Stegostoma tigrinum: one gene and its partners. The protein of the gene in region 3 interacts with the protein of the main gene of each other region in a pairwise test. Links are inferred from orthologs where the notes say so. Each region holds a gene or a part of one and is shown on either strand. Other genes may lie near its edges.

The links.
Region 1: the proteins of atos homolog protein B (region 3) and dnaJ homolog subfamily A member 3, mitochondrial-like interact in binary tests that used the Homo sapiens proteins (3 or more experiments, as listed by UniProt). The link is inferred for Stegostoma tigrinum from reciprocal best matches to the Homo sapiens genes ATOSB and DNAJA3.
Region 2: the proteins of atos homolog protein B (region 3) and kif20a interact in binary tests that used the Homo sapiens proteins (3 or more experiments, as listed by UniProt). The two-hybrid records come from large-scale screens. The link is inferred for Stegostoma tigrinum from reciprocal best matches to the Homo sapiens genes ATOSB and KIF20A.

What each region holds. Positions count from the first base shown.
Region 1 is NC_081376.1:32,396,254-32,404,208, forward strand, and holds the start of dnaJ homolog subfamily A member 3, mitochondrial-like, read right to left. Parts: upstream 3,256-7,955; 5' UTR 3,237-3,255; coding exon 3,047-3,236; intron 2,683-3,046; coding exon 2,552-2,682; intron 1,929-2,551; coding exon 1,845-1,928; intron 1,416-1,844; coding exon 1,218-1,415; intron 1-1,217. Other genes in the region: coro7 (coronin-7), read left to right, coding at 5,503-5,562. UniProt on the Homo sapiens protein: Modulates apoptotic signal transduction or effector structures within the mitochondrial matrix. Affect cytochrome C release from the mitochondria and caspase 3 activation, but not caspase 8 activation.
Region 2 is NC_081366.1:76,636,542-76,644,733, reverse strand, and holds the start of kif20a (kinesin-like protein KIF20A), read left to right. Parts: upstream 1-4,784; 5' UTR 4,785-4,963; intron 4,964-5,327; exon of another isoform or gene 5,328-5,402; intron 5,403-8,192. UniProt on the Homo sapiens protein: Mitotic kinesin required for chromosome passenger complex (CPC)-mediated cytokinesis. Following phosphorylation by PLK1, involved in recruitment of PLK1 to the central spindle. Interacts with guanosine triphosphate (GTP)-bound forms of RAB6A and RAB6B.
Region 3 is NC_081354.1:132,723,343-132,731,117, reverse strand, and holds the start of atos homolog protein B, read right to left. Parts: upstream 3,271-7,775; 5' UTR 3,203-3,270; intron 1-3,202. Other genes in the region: protein unc-13 homolog B, read left to right, coding at 5,350-5,371. UniProt on the Homo sapiens protein: Transcription regulator that may syncronize transcriptional and translational programs.

The DNA of each region.
Region 1 (7,955 bases), on a different chromosome or scaffold from region 3:
TTAACCCAGAAGATCCAAAATGGTTCTGAAATATTTAAAGCTGAGAGAGACAGACAGATATAATGGGAAGTGCAGATGCTGGAGAATCCAAGACAACAAAATGTGAGGCTGGATGAACACAGCAGGCCAAGCAGCATCTCAGGAGCACAAAAGCTGACGTTTCAGGCCTAGAGCCTTCATCAGAGAGGGGGATGGGGTGAGGGTTCTGGAATAAATAGGGAGAGAGGGGGAGGTGGACCGAAGATGGAGAGAAAAGAAGATAGGTGGAGAGAGTATAGGTGGGGAGGTAGGGAGGGGATAGGTCAGTCCAGGGAAGACGGACAGGTCAAGGAGGTGGGATGAGGTTAGTAGGTAGTTGGGGGTGCGGCTTGGGGTGGGAGGAAGGGATGGGTGAGAGGAAGAACAGGTTAGGGAGGCAGAGACAGGTTGGACTGGTTTTGGGATGCAGTGGGTGGAGGGGAAGAGCTGGGCTGGTTGTGTGGTGCAGTGGGGGGAGGGGACGAACTGGGCTGGTTTAGGGATTCAGTTGGGGAAGGGGAGATTTTGAAACTGGTGAAGTCCATATTGATACCATTAGGCTGCAGGGTTCCCAGGCGGAATATGAGTTGCTGTTCCTGCAACCTTCGGGTGGCATCATTGTGGCACTGCAGGAGGCCCATGATGGACATGTCATCTAAAGAATGGGAGGGGGAGTGGAAATGGTTTGCGACTGGGAGATGCAGTAGTTTGTTGCGAACTGAGCGGAGGTGTTCTGCAAAGCGGTCTCCAAGCCTCCGCTTGGTTTCCCCAATGTAGAGGAAGCCACACTGGGTACAGTGGATGCAGTATACCACATTGGCAGATGTGACAGATCAGATGTTTGATGTCAGATCAGATCAGATCAGAGACAGACAGATGTTTGATTTCTCAGGAAATCAAGGAACATGGGAAACTTCTGGAAAAGACAGGTCAAGCACAATGTTAGTTATGACTAAATGACAGAGCAGGCTCACAGAGCCAAATGGTTCACTGCTGCTCCTATTACTTCTTTCCTTAAGCGAAGCCGAGAAACAGTCTCTTGGGGATTTTGTGGGCAATGAAGCGTTTGATCAGCCACGATTATATTGAATGGTGAGACAGGTGTGATGAATGGAATAGCCTAATCCTATTTCTATGCAAGGAACTGTCCATCTTCAGTATCACTGGTTTCTGGATAGCCAAATAGTTAGCTTACTCACCTCCTGGTGCTGGTCAAAGACAGTGTTAAAATCTCTGAATCCAGAACCAGTAAATTCCCCAAAGATGCGTCTGAAAAGCTCCTCTGGATCCACTGAAGGCCCTGAATGCCAGTATTCCTGACTCCTTGACCCTCCTGCATCAAATCCAACTCTCCCATAAGAGTCATACTGTTTCCGCTTCACTTCATCACTCAGAACCTGTAATGCACAATTAATATCGATCAGAGCTGGAAACCAATTAACAAATAAACTCAGGAATAACGATCCCTAGGAATCCTGTATTACTGTTTGAGAATAGACACTGATTGTCACACAATTTTCACAGTTTTTTACCTCAAGTTAGAATATTCATACTGTGGTGTTGTTCTTTAGAGATTACCTAACTATTCAGTTGTGCTGGTAGTGGCACATGAATAGAACACTGGTTCCTTCACCCACAACTCCCAGCTACACACACAATTCTCAACCCCTCTCTTCCCTCCACGAAAAGTGGAAATGCTGTGGCTGTGCTGACATCTGCTGTCCACCTCCCCACATGATCAGCCAACTCGGAGCCCAGAAACTCCCTTCCGGACTAGACAGCTTGTGCAATACAGTTAGGGGCTTTCATTGCAATACATTCATTACCTCATATGCTTCTGCCACTTGGGAAAATTTCTCCTTTGCCTTTGGATCATCTTTGTTTGTATCTGGGTGGTATTTCTTTGCAAGCTGTATATGCAAGAACACAAGATTTATTCAAAGCTACAAGTAGTTATAACTGAAACCAATCTTTCCCCTGTAGGCTTTGCTGGGATAAGTACTCCAACTATTAAAATAGGTTTGATTAAGACAAATTTCCCAATGTAATTCTTTTCCATGTTTTTGTTTAAAGTATACACCAGACAGTGTTGCAGTGATAGTGCCCCTCTGCCGAAGTGGTTCAGGTTCAAGTCCTATCTACCCCAGACAAATTTCATGACATATCTGCACCAGACAGTCACCACCGCAGACATATTATTTTAAAAGCGGCTTCATTTATAAGAGAGAATTCAAATTTGACCCAGTAGATACTGTCTAGATTCAGATTCATCAGTTAAAATTGGCCACTTGCAACTCTTGATGTCATGAAAGTGGACTAGCAAATTCAGCTCCTTCATGACAAGGAGGGAGAGGAAGACATTAAAGTAAATTAAATTTGACTAAGATTCCAATTACACAATTCAATTTGATGAGCTGGAAAAATTATTCTGGTCGATGGCTTGGTGCAATTAAAAAAAATTCCCACTGATTACTTGTATAAATACAGGAACTTAAGTTGTAAGTCTGGTTTAAATGACATTCGCTTCTCATACCTGATAATAAGCTTTCTTTATCTCTCTTTGCGTTGAGTTGCGAGGGATCCCCAACACCTCATAATAATCAGTTTTGGCTAAAGGAGAAGCTGTATGAAATGCAGCAACACCTAGAGAATTTGGTGAACAAGCTTGAGGCAAATGAAAGGGAAAAGAACAATTAGGAAAAACACCCACAATCTCCCGCATTTAAAAAAAAACTATAAACCATTTTCGTCCTTGCATCAAGAAGTGACATCGTTTTCTCCTCTGACTAACGGCAACAGCTACATCTGATGCTCATGATTCATCGCAAGCAAGTCCAAATCTTTCCTTACCAGACAATCTATCCCCAGTGGGATAATGCCTGGGAGTACAGACACTGCCCTGATTGTGGAGGGGAGCATTGACACTGCCCTTCCAGGGGTCGCTTGAATTTCCTCTCTGTCATGGGGCGAGACAGGCCATGCAATAGTTACCAGGCCGACGCCAGCCGAACCTGCTCGCTTTCCTTACCGGACAGCCGCAATCTTAGTTCCAGGCCGAACCTGAGACCCAGACCACCAGCCGATAACAATCCAGGGCCCAGACAAAAGGCAGTACGGAGACCCCGAGTGGCGAGTATCCGCACGGTGCCAGGCCGGGCTCCAGCCAATGGGTTCCAGGTCACCGACACCAAGCGAAGGTAGCACCGTGCAGCCGCCATCTTAGCGCCTGCGCAGACCAACAACCCTTTCCGGTCCTGCACATGCGCACAACCGTCCCATAATCATATTGCGCCTGCGCAACAAGCCTAGTTGCCTCGTAGCCTGGAGTTAGGTTCATCCACCGTCAGTTATGTGTTAGGCCTATGCTCCCATCCAGGGAAGTATTGCTGCACTGCTACAGAGGTCATCTTTTTGCTGAGACATTAATTTGAGACGGTGTCTATCCTCCCAGCCCGGTGAAAATGATTTAATGATACTATCTCGGTACAAACATGATGGGCGAAATAGCCTCTTGCACCATTGATTCTGTGCTTATTCAGAGACTTAGGTGGATAGCTTTAGGCTGATTTCTTGTACATGTATTTATTATTTAAACAATTTCCCTTAAAGAAAGCTGCTGGTGTGTTTCCTTGATTTAACTTAGATACTGTACCTTTTTATGTCTTGCTCTGTTGGCATTTGTCCTCAGCTTATTTTGACTCATACAAGTCGAATTTTGTTTTGTCTCGTTTTATCATCAGGGAGGAATGAGGGTTCTGACTTCCTTTTTAACTTAAGGCAAGGCCCACAGATTCAAACATTAATTACTTTCAATCAACCTGTTCAAAAACATAACTGGGGAAAGTGGGATTTGGTATCTAGCCCAAAGGTACAGGCACTACCAATGTACTGGAGGCTCCAGATTTAAACCTTACAAGGATGCAGTTGTTAATCAGTAGGAGCTCCTGCTTGTGGAAACTTCGGTGCTCTCTGGCATGGAATGAGGCAAAAATTGCTACTCCAAAATCTAACAAAGGATTTTGGAAACTGCAAACAGTAAAGCGAGTGATCATACCATACATTCTATAGAGATTTCATTGTGAATATAGTTTTGCTTACCTACTTGCTGCTATGAAGTCTTGCTGACAGGACCTGTAGTTGACAGCACCTAGACAATGGATTTCATGGCTTTTACTGGTCGGCAAAGTCTTCTACAAGGAACAACGAGTAGCTGGGGACTTGCAGAGACTTCTCCATTGTATCAATCTTACTTCATAGTTAGAAAGTTCAAATCCTGTTCCAGATATCTAAACTCATAATCCAATGGAGTACTGAATAAGTGAGTATTGTAACTGTTAAGATACCTCAGAACACTCTAATAATACTCATCAGACATTTTACTACATTTAGTGGTGATATATAAACACAAATCATTGTTGACACAACATATCAGATGTTTGCAGGCAAGATTTAAAACTGTCCTGTAAATGAGTTGTGCAGTGTTCTTTTGTTCTTGCTCCCACCAATTGAGGCCCACACTCCATCTGTGCATGACACGGTGGCACAGTGGTTTAGCACTCCTGCCTCATTGTGTCTGGGGCCTGGGTTTGATCCTAGTTTTGGCAACTAGTTGGGCAACAAGTTTTGTTTACACATTCTCCCTGTGTCTGTGTCAGTATCCTCTAGGTACTGCCGTTTCCTCCTACAGTCCAAAGATTTACAGATTAGGTGGCTTGGCCTTGGTAAATGTAGATTATGGGGATTGGGTCGGCTGCTCTTTGGAAGGTTAGTGCAGAACTTGACAGGCTGAATGGCCTCTTTCCATACTGTAGAGATTCATATGTCTATAGGCACTTACCTATTAAGAATTTCCCCATGTAATTCCTAGGTTCCACCCATTGTCTCAAGAATCCTCCACTTTATGCACTTTCTTTATTCACTCGTGGTGAATTTCTGCAGTGCATCTTGTCGCTAGTAGACACTGCTGCATCTGAACATTGGTGGTGGAGGAAGAAGTGAATGTTTGTGAATGAGCGTTGACCTCAGGCTATTCCCATTTACTCCACTAATTGCTGGCTTGCTCTTGTGAGCCGTGTCACTCTCTCCTGTGGAGGAGGTGCTATTTTGGCTGGACAGCTGGTCCGTAATGCACAGTGATCCCGACAGTGTGGGTTCAGTTTCTGCGCTGGTAGAAGTTAACACGAAGGATTCTCATCCTCAGGCTATCACCTCGCCTGAAGTATCATGTTAAACCCACCGGCAGTCGTAACTCTTGTTTTGTGAGACAGTGATGCTGTACGATTGTGGAGATTTACCTCTTCAATCTAACATTGCAGCAGTGGGCGGTGCCTCTGATTGTCTGGTGGACGGGCGCGCTGGCTGCGGGGATGTGCAAGGCGTGGCCCGGTCCCACCCCTCCCCTCCCCTGTGTGGCTGTTCCAGTCGTTCCCGGCTATTCGGACAGGTGGAGCAATCGTTTGTCTAGTCGCTGTTAGAGCGGGAGCAATGAACCGCTTCCGAAGCTCGAAGTATAAGAACACGGCACCGCGGCTTCCGGGCCGGGCGGTGAGTATCAGGGAAGGGAACAATTACCCCATTAGAGGGTAAGAGGGAGGATACTGTTCTGGGATAGGGCTGTTCGGGGCCGTGCTCTGCCCTCGGGTTCCATTGCTCCTTCCGCACCTCCCTCCAGCCCGTGTCCCTCGCTGGGTGTTGCAGGTACGGGCTCCCCCGGGACCTGGCCCTGTCACCCTTGAGGTTCAATTGCTGCGGAAGCCGTTGCTTCCTGTGAGGAAGTTGCAGTGATCGAGCTCTGAACGCTTTAACACAAATTCTGTTCTAGGTTGCCATAGAAGAAGCAGCAGCAGCAGCAAAGAGAATTCTAGCCTCCTCACGCTTACCTTTCTGTAGTGCCTTTCTCATTTTCGGCAGGTACTTCTGAAATGTAGTCAATGTTGCAAAGCAAATAACGGAACAGCCAATTTATGTACCGCAAGGTCTAAATCAACAACGTGATAGTGACCAGTTTTCTAGATCATCTATTTTTGTGGTGCTGTTTGTATAGTCAGTATTGGCTTGAATGTAAAAGAATGTGCAGGGGGGTACTTTATATCTACGTGAGAGGGCAGATAGGGATCCAGGTTCAATGTCTCAGCCAAAAGATTGAGTGCTGCCCTCTCTAACGGGTCGTAGAATCGTACAGCACGAAAATAGGCCCTTTGGTCCAACTCATCGGTGCTGAACAGATTTCCAAAATTAACCTAGACTTATTTGCCAGCATTTGGCCCATGTCTCTCTTAAACCGTTCCTATTCGTGTACACATCCAGATGCCTTTTAAATGTGTCTCTGACACTCCGTGGAAAATAGCCTTAGCCTATTTAACCTCTTCCTACAACTGAAGCTCTCCAACCCCAGCAACATCCTTGTAATCTTTACTGCACCCTTTCAAGTTTAACAACACTTTTTTTCCTACAGCAGGGAGACCAGAATTGAGTGCAGTATTCCAACAGTGGCCTAACTAATGTCCTGTATAAGACCATAAGACAGAGGAGCAGAAATTAGGCTGTTCGGCCCTTCAAGTCTGTTCTGCCATTCAATCATGGCTGATAAGTTCCTCAGCCCCATTCTACTGGTTTCTCCCCGTAGCCCTTGATAATCAAGAACGTATCTATCTCAATCTTAAATGTACTCAATGACCTGGCCTCCACAGCCTGCTTTGGCAGTGAATTCCATTGATTCACCAATCTCTAGCTAAAGTAGTTTCTCCTTATCTCTGCTCTAATAGGTCTTCCCTTTTACTCTAAGGTTGTGCCCTTGGGTCCTAGGCTGTCCAATCAATGGAAGCATCTTCCCAACATCCCCTTTGTCCAGGCCATAAAGTATTCTGAAAGTTCAATTAATTGCCCCCAGCCTTCCAAACTCCAATGAGTATACTCTGAGTCCTCAAACATTCCTCGTATTTTAAGCTTTCCATTCCTGTGACCATTCTCGTGAACCTCCTCTGAACCCGCTCCTGGGCCAGTACATCCTTCTCGAGATATGAGGCCCAAAACCGCACACCATACTCCAATGTGGCCTGACCAGTGCCTTCCAAAGCCCCAGCAGTACATCCCTGCTTTTATATTCAAGACCTCTACAGCATGACTTCTCAACTCCTGTCCTCCATGCACTGGCCAATAAAGGCTAGTGTACCAAATGCCGCCTTCACTATCCTATCTACCTACAACTCCATATTCAAGGAACTATGAACATGCACCCAAAGGGCTTTTTGTTCAGCAATACTCCCCATTAAGTACACAAGTCCTGTCCTGATTTGCCTTTTGAAAATGCAACACCTCACATTTATCTAAACTCAACTCCATCTGCCACTCCCTGGCCCATCTGAACAAGGTCCTGTTGTATTCCTTTATTCGTTCACGGGATGAAGGCATCACTGGCCAGAGCAGCACTTATTGCCCATCACTAATTGCCCAGAGGGCAGTTAAGAATTAACCCTGATGCTGTGGGTCTGGGGTCACACATAGGGTAGACCAGGTAAGGATGCCAGTTTCCTTCCCTAAATGGCATTAGTGAACCAGATGGGATTTTCTGACAATCAGCAATGGTCATCATCCAGATATTTATTGAATTCAAATTCCGTCATCTGCCACGGTGGGATTTGAATCCAGATCCCTGGAATGTTACCTCGGTCTCTAGATTAACAGTCCAGTGATAATACCGCTAGGCCATTGCCTCCCCAATAATTTCTGAGATAACTTTCTTTACTGTTCACTACACCACCAATTTTGGTGTAATCTATAAATTTACTAACCATTCCTCCTCTAATTGCATCTAAATCATTTATATAAGTGACATAAAGCAGTGGACTGAGCACTGACCCTCCGGCACCCTATCGCTGGTTACAGTCCATTGCCCCCACCACCCTCTGTCTCCTACGTTTAAGCCAATTTTGCATCCA
Region 2 (8,192 bases), on a different chromosome or scaffold from region 3:
CCATCCCCACTTCCTTCTTCTAGTCTCACTGCAGCACCTCTCCTAATTTCTTTTGTTAATGAAGTGATTGTAAGCACTGTGTACGCCAAATAGGAACTCCCGTCTGCCGAAAAACTGCTGCCTCTAGTAAACAGTGGTCAGAATCACTTTAGCTGTGGTGTGGTTGAGGAATGCATCTGAGGGGAGGTGAATGTATTCTGCGTTAATTTTTGTCAAAACATACTGTCATGCAACTTGCTTCCAAATGTTGAATCCTGGTCCCAAATGTTGAGGGTTGGCAATTCACTGACTGCCTCTTGTCCTGTGGCTTGTACAGGTTGTGAGGGCTGGCCTGAGTCTTTTATTCCAACCTTATTCTGACAGTAACAGGTTCTGATCCCAGTATGTACATCAATTTTTCTTGGCATCAGTTACGTTTCTGGAGATTATTAAGCAGAAGGCTGAGAGGTGCTTGAGAGATGTCTATGTATTGTAGGCTGCCAGCTGTAGTCCAGCCAGCTTGGTTTTAAAAGAGCATTATGGGATCCTGGATAAAATATGGAAATAATGTAATATTTTGCGACAGGGACGTCATCAGTCAGCTGTTTCAAGGACGTGATTTATTCCTGATGAATTAATTTATCCAGTAATGTTCTTCCTTTAAAAAACTTTGAAGCTGCTGGTACAGAGATGTTTCAGAGCGTCAGTATTGTCCTATAGTTTGGAGTGAGCTGAGGAGCCCTTTCACAACTTAAGAGTAATCAAGTTTCCTGGGTCTGAGTGTGGATATTTCAAGGCACCTATTGGTCTTTTCTTGTAGCTTGTAAGAGGATTTTTGGCAAATTAGTATTTGCCTCTAGAGTACGTTAGTGAAAAAAAAACTGGTCTTTTGTAACATTTGGATTTTTACTAAACCAACATCCGATACTCAGGTTCACAAAGTCACCTGGCACTAAGTCAGAGATAATGGGAACTGCAGATGCTGGAGAATCCAAGATAATAAAGTGTGAAGCTGGATGAACACAGCAGGCCAAGCAGCATCTCAGGAGCACAAAAGCTGACGTTTCGGTCCTAGACTCTTCATCAGAGAGGGGGATGGGGTGAGGGTTCTGGGATAAATAGGGAGAGAGGGGAAGAAGGACCGAAGATGGAGAGAAAAGAAGATAGAAGATAGGTGGAGAGGAGAGTATAGGTGGGGAGGTAGGGAGGGGATAGGTCAGTCCAGGGCAGATGGACAGGTCAAGGAGGTGGGATGAGGTTAGTAGGTAGGAAATGGAGGTGCGGCTTGGGGTGGGAGGAAGGGATGGGTGAGAGGAAGAACAGGTTAGGGAGGCTGAGACAGGCTGGGCTGGTTTTGGGATGCAGTGGGGGGAGGGGAAGATCTGGGCTGGTTTTGGGATGCGGTGGGGAAGGGGAGATTTTGAAGCTGGTGAAGTCCACATTGATACCATTGGGCTGCAGGGTTCCCAAGCGGAATTTGAGTTGCTGTTCCTGCAACCTTCGGGTGGCATCATTGTGGCATTGCAGGAGGCCCATGATGGACATGTCATCTAAAGAATGGGAGGGGGAGTTGAAATGGTTCGCGACTGATAGGTGCAGTTGTTTATTGTGAACCGAGTGGAGGTGTTCTGCAAAGCGGTCCCCAAGCCTCCGCTTGGTTTCCCCAATGTAGAGGAAGCCACACCGGGTACAATGGATATCAGAGATAATGGGAACTGCAGATGTTTCCATATTAAGCAGAGGTTCACCTGCACATCTGCCAATGTGGTATACAGTATCCACTGTACCCGGTGTGGCTTCCTCTACATTGGGGAAACCAAACGGAGGCTTGGGGACCGCTTTGCAGAACACCTCCGCTCAGTTCGCAATAAACAACTGCACCTCCCAGTCGCGAACCATTTCAACTCTCCCTCCCATTCCTCAGACGACATGTCCATCATGGGCCTCCTGCAGTGCCACAATGATGCCACCCGAAGGTTGCAGGAACAGCAACTCATATTCCGCTTGGGAACCCTGCAGCCCAATGGTATCAATGTGGACTTCACCAGCTTCAAAATCTCCCCTCCCCCCACTGCATCCCAAAACCAGCCCAGACTGTCTCAGCCTCCCTAACCTGTTCTTCCTCTCACCCATCCCTTCCTCCCACCCCAAGCCGTACCTCCATTTCCTACCTACTAACCTCATCCCACCTCGTTGACCTGTCCGTCTTCCCTGGACTGACCTATCCCCTCCCTACCTCCCCACCTATACTCTCCGCTCCACCTATCTTCTCTTCTCTCCATCTTCGGTCCACTCCCCCTCTCTCCCTATTTATTCCAGAACCCTCACCCCATCCCGCTCTCTGATGAAGAGTCTAGGCCCGAAACGTCAGCTTTTGTGCTCCTGAGATGCTGCTGGGCCTGCTGTGTTCATCCAGCTTCACACTTTATTATCTTGGCACTAAATCAGTTTAGTTAGCACCCTTTCTCCATATTCCCATTCATGCTGAGAATCTACTATCCATTATTTCTGTTAGCACTCTCCCTTCCTACATCCTCTCAGTTACTGCAGACATTTAGTGGTGGCAGTGATGTACTGGTGATATAACAAGATTAAGGGGTATGCCATTTAGAACAGAGTTGAGGAAAAACTTCTTCACCCAGAGAGTGGTGGATATATGGAATGCTCTGGGCCAGAAGGCAGTGGAGGCCAGGTCTCTGCATACTTTCAAGAAAGAGATGGATAGAGCTCTTAAAGATAGTGGAATCAAGAGTTATAGGGATAAGGCAGGAACAGGATACTGATTGTGGATGATCAGCCATGATCATAATGAATGGTGGTGCTGGCTTGAAGGGCCGAATGGCCTACTCCTGCACCTATTGTTTATTGTCTATTAGTATAGCAATCCAGAGGCCCAGGCCCATATTCTGGAGTTACAGCAGCTGGTGGAATATAAATTAATAAGTTTGGAATATTAAAGAAAACTAGTTCCAGTTTTGTTGTCTCCATTACTATCACTATCATAAAAACCCATCTTGTTCTCTGATGTCCCACAGAAGAGAAAAATCAGTCAAACCTGCTTTGTCTGAGTGATACAAAATGACAGACCCACCGCAATGTTGTTGACTCATCTGCAGTCTGAATGGCCTAAGAATTAAGCCACTCAGTTCAACAGCAATTAGGGGTGAACAATAAATGCTAGTCTTATAAGCAACACCTGAAAACCATTAAGGAATGAAACAAATTCTCCTATTTCCTATATTACAAACTGCACTAATTCCAGCTGTCTTGATTTGGACTACAAATAGGTTGGATGGATTCAGAGATAACACAGAGTGGAGCTGGAGGAACACAGCTGGCCAGGCAGCATCAGAGGAGCAGGAAAGCTGAAGTTTCAGGTTGGGACCCTAATTCAGAAAATGAAGAAGGGTCCCGACCAGAAACGTCAGCTTTCCTGCTCCACTGAAGCTGCCTGGCCTGCTGTGTTCCTCCTACTCCACTGTGTGTTATCACTGACTCCAGCATCAGTAGTTCTTACTATCTTTGGATCAGATTTCTGATAGGTTCTATTAGCTCTGCTATTTTTCCAAACCTCTTTGTAACACTTTTTTAATTGCAATATTTACATTGCACTGAAATAAATTCAGTCACAGCTACTATAACGTATAGCCTTGGAACAGTGGCACAATGGTTAGCACTGCTGCCTCACAGTGCCAAGGGCCTGGGTTTGATCCCACTCTTGGGTGACTGTTTGTTTGGAGTTTGCATGTTCTGCCTGCGTTTCCTCTGGGTGCTCCAGTTTCTTCGCACAGTCCAAAGATGTGCAGGTTAGCTGGATTGGCCATACTAAACTGCCCATAGTGTCTTGGAATGTACAGGTTAGGTGGATTAGCCATGGTAAATGCAGAGTTAGAAGGATAGGGGTGAGTCTGGGTGAGATGCTCTTTGGAAGTTCAGTGTGGACTTGTTGGGTTGAATGGCCTGTTTCCAAACTGTAGGGATTCTATGAATACTTCAGGAAAATATGCTTAAAATTACCTCTCAAATTGAGGCACGGCTTCCAAACTGACAGTGGTTTCCTTTCCTCTTTCAAGCTGTGAAAAAGATAAGACATAGAAGCAGGAGTCGGCTATCCAGTCTGCCCACCATTCTTGGCTGATTGATAACCTTCAACTCCACTTTCCTGATGTGTTCGCATAACCCCTGATGGTCTTAGTGTTTTTTTTTATTAATCATTATCTCAGCCTGGAATATCCTAAATTACTCAGCCTCAAAAGTCCTCTGGATTCAGAGTTCCACTACATTTGAGAGAAGAATATTCCTTCTCAACCCTGTCTTAAATGAGCAGCCCCCTCATTTTGAGATGATGCCCTCCCACAAGGGAAAGCAACCTTAGTGCATCGACCCTGTCAGGTTCCTTAAGAATGTTATATGCTTCAATAAGGTCGCATATTATTCTTTTAAACTCCGATGGACACAGAGCCAACCTACTCTACTGGACTTCACAAAGCAGTCCATACCTGGTTAATATTTATCTCACTTATAAAGCAAACAATGGGCAAGTGGAAAAATAACATTTCCCTGAGAGAAATCTTGCCATTTATCTCCACGAAGGAACAACTATGAAAATGAAACAAATAGAACCTGTCTTCCTCCAAACACTGAGACTACCACAGGTAGAAGAGTACTGATGTTGGAAGTGCGCATGCGCTAGCGACCGGCGTGACCTACGCCGTGGGTGGACATGCGCACAGCCGTGAGCAGCGTTCTTTCGGGGAGGGGAGGGACTGCGCAGCCGCAAGGAATGACCCCCCCACCCCAAACACCAAGACAAAGGAGGGTGCTTCCCCGGGCGCGCATGCGGAGTGAGGTCACTGGGACGCGGTCGGCCGTTGGACGGGAACAGCGGCGCGCTATTTGAAAACAAGGGAGTCGTTGGCGAGCGGTGCGCGGGGTCGGATTACTGTCAGGCTAGTGCTGTCTTCGCTTGGGACTCTCACCACAGGTATGGTCTCTATCTCCTTCCCTCAGGTACAGCCCGAACGGTAGGAAAGAGCGCCCCACACGAAACAAGGCGGTCGTCCCCCCCCCCGGTCTGCGCTGCAGCTTCATAACGTCGTTCATGGCGGCGTCCCTCTTCCTGCCCGGGCGATGAGTCAGTGGCTGCAGGCCCTACACGCAACTCAGTCAACAAAAGGGCAGGCAGCAGCAGCAGCGGCAGCAGCAGCAACCGCCCCCTCTCCCCATCATCAGCCCACCCGGTGTGCCTGCTTTCCTCCGCAACCTCCCCCCCCCCCCCCCACCAACCCACCCAAATCCCCAGCCCACCGGGTGTTCTTCCCTACCCCCTTGTGCCCCATTCTGCACCCAACCTCTCCCTCCACATCCAGAAGAAGGTTAACTATTCACCCAGCTGGACTCTCTTGTGTGTTTGCCCGTTTGAGGTAGGGGTGTTCTCTTTTACTTGCTGTTTGAGTAAGGGTTGGGATGTTTTCATCGGCGATATGCTCCCCAACTTCTCTAGGTTAGAAAGAGTGTCTGTGGATTGGTATTGGTAATATAGGCTGAACGACGCCCCCCCTTCATTGCTGTGACATAGAGCCCTACAACATGGAAACGGACCAGTCCGTGCTGAATGTAATTTTTAAACTAAACCAGTCCCACCTGTCTGCTCCTGGCCCATATCCCTCTGAACTTTTCCTATTCAGCTACTTATCCAGTGTGTTTTAACTGTTGTAGATGTACTCATATTCACCACTTCCGCAAAGTTCATTGTGCATGAGAGGCACCCCCTGTTTTTAAAAAAAACAAAATTTGCCCTTTGTGTCTTTTTTTTAGAAGTCTCTGTCCTTTCACCTTAAGTATGCCCTCTAGATCATCTTGGTTCTATTGCCCTATGATACTGGTGGCTCTTCGTGGTTTGGTATTTTCCTTTGATCTGTCTGTGGGCCTGGCTATACACTTTGCTGACTCCTTAACAATTGGCCATGTTGCTTTAAGAGATTAAAAAGGTATGTGCATCTAGGTGGTAGTCTGTTTTTGTTTTGAAAATTTTGGAACCTGATTTTAAATTCTTACATGTGATGGGATTTGCATTATGTGGATTTAATAACCCACCAGTAGAAGAATACACGCTTGCTGAGCTATCGCATGGGTTGCTGTGGTGTTTACCCTATAGGGTGCTAATCTCTGGGTTGACTGATTTTTTTTTTGTTTAGTTTATTGCTGGATATATATTTCTAAGGATTATAGTTTTCAAAACTTTTTATGAATAGTAACTAGATGCAACTGGAGGTGATCTTCCACAGCAAGCAAATGTGGAAACAATTTGACAGCAAGAGGCCACATCCAAAAAACAGGGAAGTAAGTGATCTACAAAATAATTGAGTTTGACTATTCTGCCCTTGGGCAGTGGTTTTATTCAGCCTAAGATATAAAGAGGCACTTGAGCTGGTTCCCTGAATGTCTGTCTGTTTCTTACAGACCCTTGCCTGCTAGGTGACTCTATTGACAAATCTTGGGCATGCTGTCTGTGATTTCTTGAGCATTAAATTTTTCTAATGTGGAGAATTATGGGCAGCATGTCCTCAATTTTTGTGTAATATGCAATGGATTGTGTGCACTTGTAATGTTGGCTCTTGATCTATGAAAGATGTGCTTTATTTCTGTGATTTGCCACTCAGTATAACTTTACTTTATGTAATCAAAAGATTCTTTTATAGATGGGCTGAGGCTACTATAGAAGCTGCAGGGCAAATCAGAAAAATTAATCAATTTAAGACTCCTCCAGCAAAAAAAGCATGAAGTCGGTTTTCTGCACTTGTGTCTCTGGGTGACTGGGTTCATTAGCATGAGAGACTGATGTCTGATTCTAATGACGACCCATGGGTATCACTTCCTGCAGAGTAATAAATATGAGATTATGCATTTTTTTGTGCTGTTAGAAATTAAAGGAAATGTAATTTCCTATCTTGGTGGCATTCAAGTTTTTGCAGTTTGAGATTAATTGTCCTCTGGTTTAAATCCTTGTGAAATTTTATTCAAACAATTTTTACTGTTGACTTTACCAAATATCTATGTTGTATAGTCTGTGAATACAGTTATTATTGAATGAAGCTCCTTTACATACAAGTTCTTGATGTGCATAGTTTTATTTTCAATTTATTTTTGTTTTTATTAACCAACTTGTCAGTGAAGTTTTCAGTTATCTTTATGAAAACCTAGCTTACATATGGATAAAGGTAGCTTCAGAATCAATTTGTGCTTTTCAAATTTGCACATTCTGACATCTCTTTGTGGAATTTTGCACATTTGTCTCAGCAAGGAAATGCAATCTAGAGCCATGTGACTTGGACAAGGCAACCAAAAGTTTTGAAACGGTAGTAATGCATCCTGTACCTGTGAAGATACATTCTGCTTTTGAATTCAGATGGAGAAGCTCCCTGTTCTCTCTAATGATGAGAAATTGATTTGGGGTCATTATCTTTGATTATTATTAGTTTATATCTATTAAATTTTCTCTGAATTTACCGATAAGCATGTGAGCCATATGGACCATAAGAACATAAGAAATAGGAGCAGGAGTAGGTTATTCAGCCCTCGGCATTTGCTTCATCATTGTTTAAGATCGTGGCTGATCTTCCCCAAACTTCAACCCTCCTTTTGGTCAGCTCCTCGTAGCCACCCACTCTCCAATTTTTAAAAATCTATTTCCTCTTTAAATACTTTGTGATCTAGCCATCACAGCTCCCCGTAATAGTGAATGACCGGAATTCTACTTTTTCTGAGCAATGAAATTCCTTCACAGATAATAAAGTGCGAAGCTGGATGAACACAGCAGGCCAAGGAGCACAAAAGCTGACGTTTCGGGCCTAGACCCTTCATCAGAGAGGGGGATGGGGTGAGGGTTCTGGAATAAATAGGGGGAGGTGGACCGAAGATGGAGAGAAAAGAAGATAGGTGGAGAGGAGAATATAGGTAGGGAGGGGATAGGTCAGTCCAGGGAAGACGGACAGGTCAAGGAGGTGGGATGAGGTTAGTAGGTAGGAAATGGAGGTGCGGCTTGGGGTGGGTGAGAGGAAGAACAGGTTAGGAAGGCAGAGACAGGCTGGGCTGGTTTTGGGATGCAGCGGGTGGAGGGGAAGAGCTGGGCTGGTTGTGTGGTGCAGAGGGGGGAGGGGAGACGAACTGGGCTGGTTTTGGGATGCGGTGGGGGAGGGGGAGATTTTGAAGCT
Region 3 (7,775 bases):
GCATAGTTTAGCTGGTGGTGAGAGGGAAATGCCCGTTCTTTCATGCATCCTGGTCTCTGTTTACCACACACTGCCCTCAAAGAGGCTGCACTGGTGAAGACACATCTCCTTCTGGAATTTACTTTTGCAAAGAAGGTCAGGAGAGAGATGCAGTGGGTTTTGCTGAGTTGTATTCCTTTTGGAAAGATTTTCAATTGGAAAATGTGCATTTAAGTGGGGCATTCAGAAGAGGTAGGAGATTTAAGTAGGATCTAGGTGTCAGTAATTGGCCAGTTAGAATTAAAGATTTTCTAAAGATCAGCAGGAGTGTAAGGCTGTTTATGGTTTTAATGGTCATTGGGTAATTTGCAGAAAGAGGCAAAAGGCATATCAAGTCTATGCTGGCTATCTGCAGAGCAATCCAATCAATCCTCCTACAAGATAATCTCCTGTACCGCTGCTTGTATATTTCTGCACCTATTTCCACAAACCTTTATCTGTTTCTTCTCATCCTTGTGCAATCATCAACAAAAAGGAATAGATTTTCCTTGTGTACCTTATCCAGATCTGTCATGATCTTGTTCAAAAAACAGAAAATGTTGGAGACAATAAACAGGTCAGAGAGTGTCTTTGGACAGAGAAAATTAGTTAATCTTTCAACTTGTTGACATCATCAGAATTTCATGAATTTCCTCCCTTCTTTCAATTTCATCTCTTACTCTTTCCATAGCTTCTCTTTCTCCATTTCTGGTAATATGTTGGCAATGAACATATATTAGAAGTCCACTGACCTCCATGGTCATCTCAACTACACATCTTTGTACCTAGATCCTGTCAGGATTCTATTTCATTCTCCCAGTTCCTCCGTATCCATCACATCTGATGATGTCTTCCAATCTAGTATTTCTGAGATGTCTTTGTTTTGTCTCAACAGAGGATCCCTCTCAGCCTGGTTGACAGGGTCTTTTATTTCAGGTTTCAATCCTTCTGTTCCCTCCCAGAACCCTGACTCCTCACCTTCCATCCATTTTCCAAATATTCCTACCTCTGTATTAAAATAATTATTTTCCACCAATTCCACTACCTACCATGTGAGGCAACTAAAAAATGTCTTTCACTTCCTTCCCCTTTCAGCAGTCCAAAAGGAATGCTCCTTCCATGACACTCTGTTTTACTCCTCAGTCACACAGCCATCCTTTTCCTGGGGCACATTTTTATGTAAAGACAGGAGATGCAATACATGTCAATTCACCTTTACTTTGCTAACTGTCCATTGCCCCAGGACTCCTTCAGGTCAAACAGGAATTTATGTTTCCTTCTTTCAATTTACCATAATGCCTTGTCTGTTCCTCACATAGTCTCCTCTATGGTGGAGTGACCAAATACAGATTAGGTGACCACTTTGTGGAACACCTCTTGAACAAGTCCTCAAGCCTCCTGTGGTCTGTCATTTCAATTCTGCACCTTGCTCTTACACTGACATCTGTGTCATTGTTCCACTGCACTGGATCAGAGAAGATTCATGCAAGGTTGAGAAACAGCACTTCAGTTTTCATTAACCAATTTATAGGCTTTGTCGGAATTCAATTATTTTAGATGGTAAGCTCTGTTGTATCATTTTGTTTACTTCAATGTTTTTCTAATTTTGGCTTTCAGACAGTAGAATGTCAGCTACCGACATATCTTTGTTTCTTTCCCTGCTCTATTGTCTTGCTCTCTTTGAACGTGCAAGATCAACACTTATTATTCAACCTCTCCTGTCTTCCACTCAACAAGAGACCTTCCCTTGCCTACCAATGTCTTGTTCAAATCATATTACATCGCTAACTTTTCCCAAGTTTGATGAAAGATTTGAAACATTCGTTCTTATTTCTCACTCCACAGTGGCTGTCTGACCTGCTGCGTATTTCCTGCATTTATTGTTTTTCTTTCAAACTTGCAGCATTTTGAGTATTGTTGGTAGGTCTCAATTCTGTATGTGATGCTATAATCAGATATTAGGCCTACTTCTTATCCCACTGCAACCTTAAACCAATTAGACACTCTCGCCCTATGTTATCCACAGCATGTGTATTCTCAATGGTGGAAATGCCTGGGCATTTTTTCTTCTGTGTGAAGCACATTCAGAGGAGCTTCCCAAGCTCTTTCGGTTCCCGAGATTTTATTACACCTTTAGCAATTGCTTTATTCCATTTTTACTCTATTGCTTTAACTTCTTTTAGGCCAAATTTTCTTTTTTGGGGCAAGTAGAACCTGATTTAGTTAAATCACTACTCCTCACGACAGAATAAGTCACTTTGTTGTCCTGTTACATCCAGTCAAGAACAGTAAAAGCTAACAGGAGGAGGAGGCTCTATGAACATCATCCGCAACCATGGTGTGAGTGCAGCAAGCCCGTGTGCATGCAAACATATTCCACCACGGTGCTTTCTGTCGTGGTCTCGAGCAATGTAGATGAAGTGTCCAATCAAATCATTACACCCAGTATTAAGGAACAAATAACTACGATGAACACATGCAGCAAAGGTTGGGGGTCCTAACAACATTCCTGGCCCAATTCCAGCACAACTATGACAATGTTTTTTGCAATATCGGCGGTGGTCGCAAAAAGCATAACAGGTCCCATTATTTCCCTACGTGTCGTGAAGGAGTTCCGGGGAATCACATCTTAAAAACAAAGTTTAATGTTTGAGATGAATAACACGCAACTACTATGTGCAGCAGGTGGCACTATATTCCATCTAATGTACACACAAACTTCAGTGTGGTGTAAATACTCTGAAATTTGTTATGAGTGGGTTTCAAATAAATAAGTACTGCTGCAATCAGTATTTCTGTGTGAAAATAACAGAGCAGCCTTTTGAAAGGCAAGTCTGGAAAAATGAGCATCTTAGTTGAGTTCCCACCGTAATGTAAGGACCGTCGCGCTGTACAGCTCGGTTCTACATGAAGCTTACAATGTGATTGACGAGGCTTATTAACGTCATTCTGAATTTCAAACCAATTCAGATTTTTAAAAAAAGATATTATCTGCATATTTCTGAAGACACACTGAAATGTTACCGTTTCCATTTTACCTGTTAAATATAACAAGAAACCGACCGTAGATTACATGGTCCACGGAATTAATTCTAAAATTATACAGAATAATGAGAAAGAAATCAGGCGATCTTTGAGAAACCACTTTTTTAAACCGTGTTTGTGGATAAAAACTGCTACTCACCGTATTAACGTTCAGAGTTTTATTTCAGAATGTTTCGTCAAATGGCGTCCACCATTTCTGACAGGCAGAGGCTATAACATCGGTAATAAAACGCGCACGTAGATGCATGCAAATGATTGAAAACGTTATTTATCTTAACTGTATAATTATCGAACCTACAATCCATGTTAACCAAAGATAGTTCGTTTGAATGATAATCGTTATCTACTAAGGAGTAAATATGCTAATAAATGCTCATTCTCCCTCAATCGACGGGAACAGCTAAATTACAGTAAAGCGGGCGATAAATCTACGTCTTCAAGTACTAACATGTATGTGGATAATAACAATAAAAGATCATAAACTGAATAATACGAATACTGTACTGAGTACCTGCCAATTAGGCCTTATTCATTTTACCTATAATCTCAGCCATTCAGCAATAGTATGAAATGCATAAAAACAGCTGAAGTACAATGAACCACTCAGAGGCTTTATGGTGCAGTGGCAGTGCCCCTTCTTATGGGCCGGAAGTCCTGGATTCAAGTCCTACACCTGTTCCCAAGATGTGTCATGAACATGACTGTACAGGTTGCTTAAAAATATCTATTAGGAACTATCGAAAGCATTAAATGCCAAACCTCAATCACACCAATAAAGCAGCAGTCGGATGTAACTTTTTGGTAAATCCTTGTCTATAAGCATCACTTACATTCGGTCAAAAATTGGAATTAAAAAGCAGATCGCAAGAGCATTTATTACCCACACATATTTTCACCGTAGTCCAACTAATTTTGTGGCTACTTTATGAATAGGTTTATAGAAAAGTATTGCGCTTTCTGTTTTTTTAAAGGCTTTGTGAGGTGGTGCAACATTAATGGCTACAGCAACAGAAAGGTGCTGCGGATGGTGGAAATGTGAAATAACGTTAAAAATATTCTGAAAATCAGGCAGCATCTGCGAAGAAATTGCCAGATTTATCTATTCAGGTCGCTGACCTTTCATCGCCATGTGTTTATAGCTAATTTCTGTTTAATCCCAAAGACGAATCTGTAATCCATTAATGGTTATTAGAAGCGTCCGAGAATTTTAAGTATTTATACACTTGTTTTCAAAGCATTGTGTTTTTAAAGAAAATAGGATGGGAAGCTGACCTTTAATATATATTCCACTGACAAAGTTGGTGTCACAGCAGGTTTTTATTCGTAATACCATATGTGCACTTGACATCTCGATGAGCCTTGAGTTTATTTGCTGGAGGATGGAGGGGTTTCTACAGGAGATTATTATCAGTAACTCTGATTACTTTGATTATTTCTAACTCAATTATCTAAATTAAATTTTGTAATATGCGAAAAATCCGTTTCTGATTCATTTGATTATAGGTCAATACAAAAAATACCCTTTCGTAAGTAACAGTGATTGACTATTCTACTCCGAATAACTAACGATCCAGTTATGTATATTAATTTATTTTGATTTCGCAGAACAGAAAGAGGATTTCCACCCCAGCCAAATTATCGAAAGCTGGAAGCGGTCAGTCCCTCAAAAAATGAAAAATACCAATTGCATAATTCAAGGTAAACCGCGACAAGTTGTCTACATTTTAAAACCCTGGATGTCTCCTTGTACTGTTGATCCTACCAGCCAGAAAAAGACCAACTCAGGTTTAGTTGCATTGTCGTGCAGTTTAGTTAGTTCCTGCAAATGCTTGAGAAATTGAGTGCCAAGCTTTGCAGGATATGGTGTCCGGAAATGAAGAAGGGGCTGAACATTTACCTGAAACACGAAACGTTGGCCACAGGAGCGGCGCTGAGTTCCAATTGACGTCACTCACCTGACAAAGAGCCCATCACGCGCCGACCGGCGGCGGCAGCCCCGCCCAATCACCGCCCTCATCTCTTTCCCATTGGCTGACTTCTCGGACAGGGCGCTACCCCATAGGTTGAGGCGTCCCTTTCCCCGCCCCTCTATTTCCGCTTGTGGAATCAAGAGGCTCGTCAACATGGCGATGAGCTGTCATCCATCGCGCCGACAAATTCACAGTTACTTCGAAATGGTACGGGCAATGATGGGCGGACTGCGAGTGCTTCCACTCCATCAATAAAAGCAAACCCTGTTTTGTTTTCAGTCTGGGTGTTAGGCGTCGAGGAGGACTTTGTCGCACTATGTCTCTACTTTGTGTCAGAGGTGAGTGTTGCTAAGGGGTGTGTTCGGGGGCGGGTGGTTGGGGTGGAGAGGCCTGGGGCACAAAATAGGTGGTACCCACCCTGATGTCTTCCAGACATCGGCTCGCCTGCTCCACGTATCCCACAGCAGTCGTTGGACTGAAAAAGTGTCGATCGCCTCTCATCTTGAACAAGTCAGTAGACTTGTTGCTGTTGCATCCGTCACTTATTTTTATTTTATATTTGTACAGTAAATTTGATTGATCTGACAGGTGTGTCTGAAGAGTAGCTTTTTCTGCGACAGCATCTGTCTTTTCCTGAATCTCATCTTCCACCCCGTTTCTACTGTTAATATGCGTGTTTGGAATTTTTCGGACAAACTGCTGGTTTATATTCCAAACGGTGATAGTGAATAAAACTTTTAGTCTGGCAGATTGTATGTGCTATGTATGGTTTGCTTGCCCGATCTGAAATCTTTTGAGTGAGAAGAATCAGTTCAGTATTTAAATACTCGTCTTTAGATCTCATCTGGGTGTATTCGCTACAGTGTTATCTCTTGTGAAACAGGATGGGGTTTTGATCAAGTCCGTTTCTATGGGAATTGATCTAAAGCTTCCTCTTGGAAGGCAGTTATTTCAGCAGATAAGCGGATGGGATAAGCTGTCAATGTTTGCAGCACAAATTTCGTCCGTTTGGATTTTTAGATGAAGTGAGACCCAGCGAAGAATTGTGTGAGGGAAAGCCTCGCTTAAACGCAAGAGGTTGAACTGATTTTAAACCAGTTAATTACTTTCCGCTCTGGGTTTTGATTTGTGCTATTACCGGAACACTTGTTTTTACAGTAACTAAAATGTTATACTGGACGCATCGTTGGCTGCCGAGCTTGGCTGGGCAGAAAGGTTTCAGTTTGCTTTGTTCGCTTTGCTTTGGTCGTTTAATAAATGTTGTACGTATGAAGAAACTCAATATCGTTTTAATGATTGGATGTAAGTGTAATTATTTGTCATTTTACCCGCACTTACAAGACTTAGTATGGCTAATACTGATCTGTTGAGAGAGTAAAGATAAATGTGGAACCCGATGCGCCCAAGGCTCTCTAACCTATTAAATGTTACATTTTCTGCAGATCTTAGTTCATTCAATTTAAATACCATTCCATTTGTTGCAATCCGCAAAGATTTCAGTATTATCCCTCTTTAATCGGATTTTGCAGCAATTCAAAATCATAAAGTCTTTGCATATCTGTACCCTTCAGTATCGCGGGAAACATTAGGTACCCGAAAAGGCATGGAATGGAAAATAAGTCAGCCAATTTTCATCTTGGATAATATATGATGCTTCCCTTTCCACCTGTTCAGTGACAATATCGTATTGCCAAATCTCAGATTAGTCTGGCATTTGCCGTTCAATAGAAACTATAATTTCTAATTTCGACGAAGTAGTTAAGCAGTTCAGAGAATGTGGAAATTATGTTTTAAGGAACACAATTTTCTGTTAGATATTGTTTTGCCCTAAGGTATTCCGTATCTCAGAAATTTAATTTTAATTTTACATTGTGACCATGAATGAGTTACAGAGATTTTCTACTCTAGTGTTCAGCTGACCAACGGTATTGTTACAAAACTGCATTTTTCAGTTTTGTCAGAAGCTATCCTTTGACCTTAGAAAAAGTAGTTACAATACCTAATTTTGTGCCTTTGTCAATACTAGTAACACTGAAAGAATAGTATACCTACAGCTGAACTGCTATTAGATGGTTATTTTTCATCACATGCAAAGCAACCTAGATGATTTATTCTTTAATTCCCCAGGCTTTGTGCTTGTGGTTAAATCACTGAACAACATATATCTGGTCTAAGAAAGATATGTCTGGCTCTTGGAGTGAAAGGCTAATAAAGCAGAGTACAGAAATACAAAGTACTGGAGAAACTTGGGAAGTTTGGCAGCATCAGTGGAAAGAGAAACAGTACTGAAATAACTCTTTGGATGTACTGAGTTTCCCCAGCAATTTTTGCTTTAATTGCAGATTTCCTGCATGTCCAGTGCTTTGCTTTTCTGCAGAGAACAGATGCCAGTCATCAACTGATGCCATGTGATATTAAGAAATAAATGAATACACTGGGTACTGCAAAGGCTGTGGATTCTGGCAGCATTCTGGCAATAATATTTGAGATGAATAAAACAAAGAATTGTGTGCATGCTGGACATCTGAAACGAAAACAGAAATTGCTGGCAACTCAGCATGCCTGACAGCATCGGTGGGGAGAAAGCCGAATCAAAGATTCTTCACTTCAGCTGCTGAGTTTTGCCAGCAATTTCTGTTTTTGAATAATGTGTTCCAAAACTAACTGCACCCCAAACTAAATTGTCCTACTGCTGCTACAATACTGACATCTGACAATGTGGTAAATTGCCCAGATGTGTCC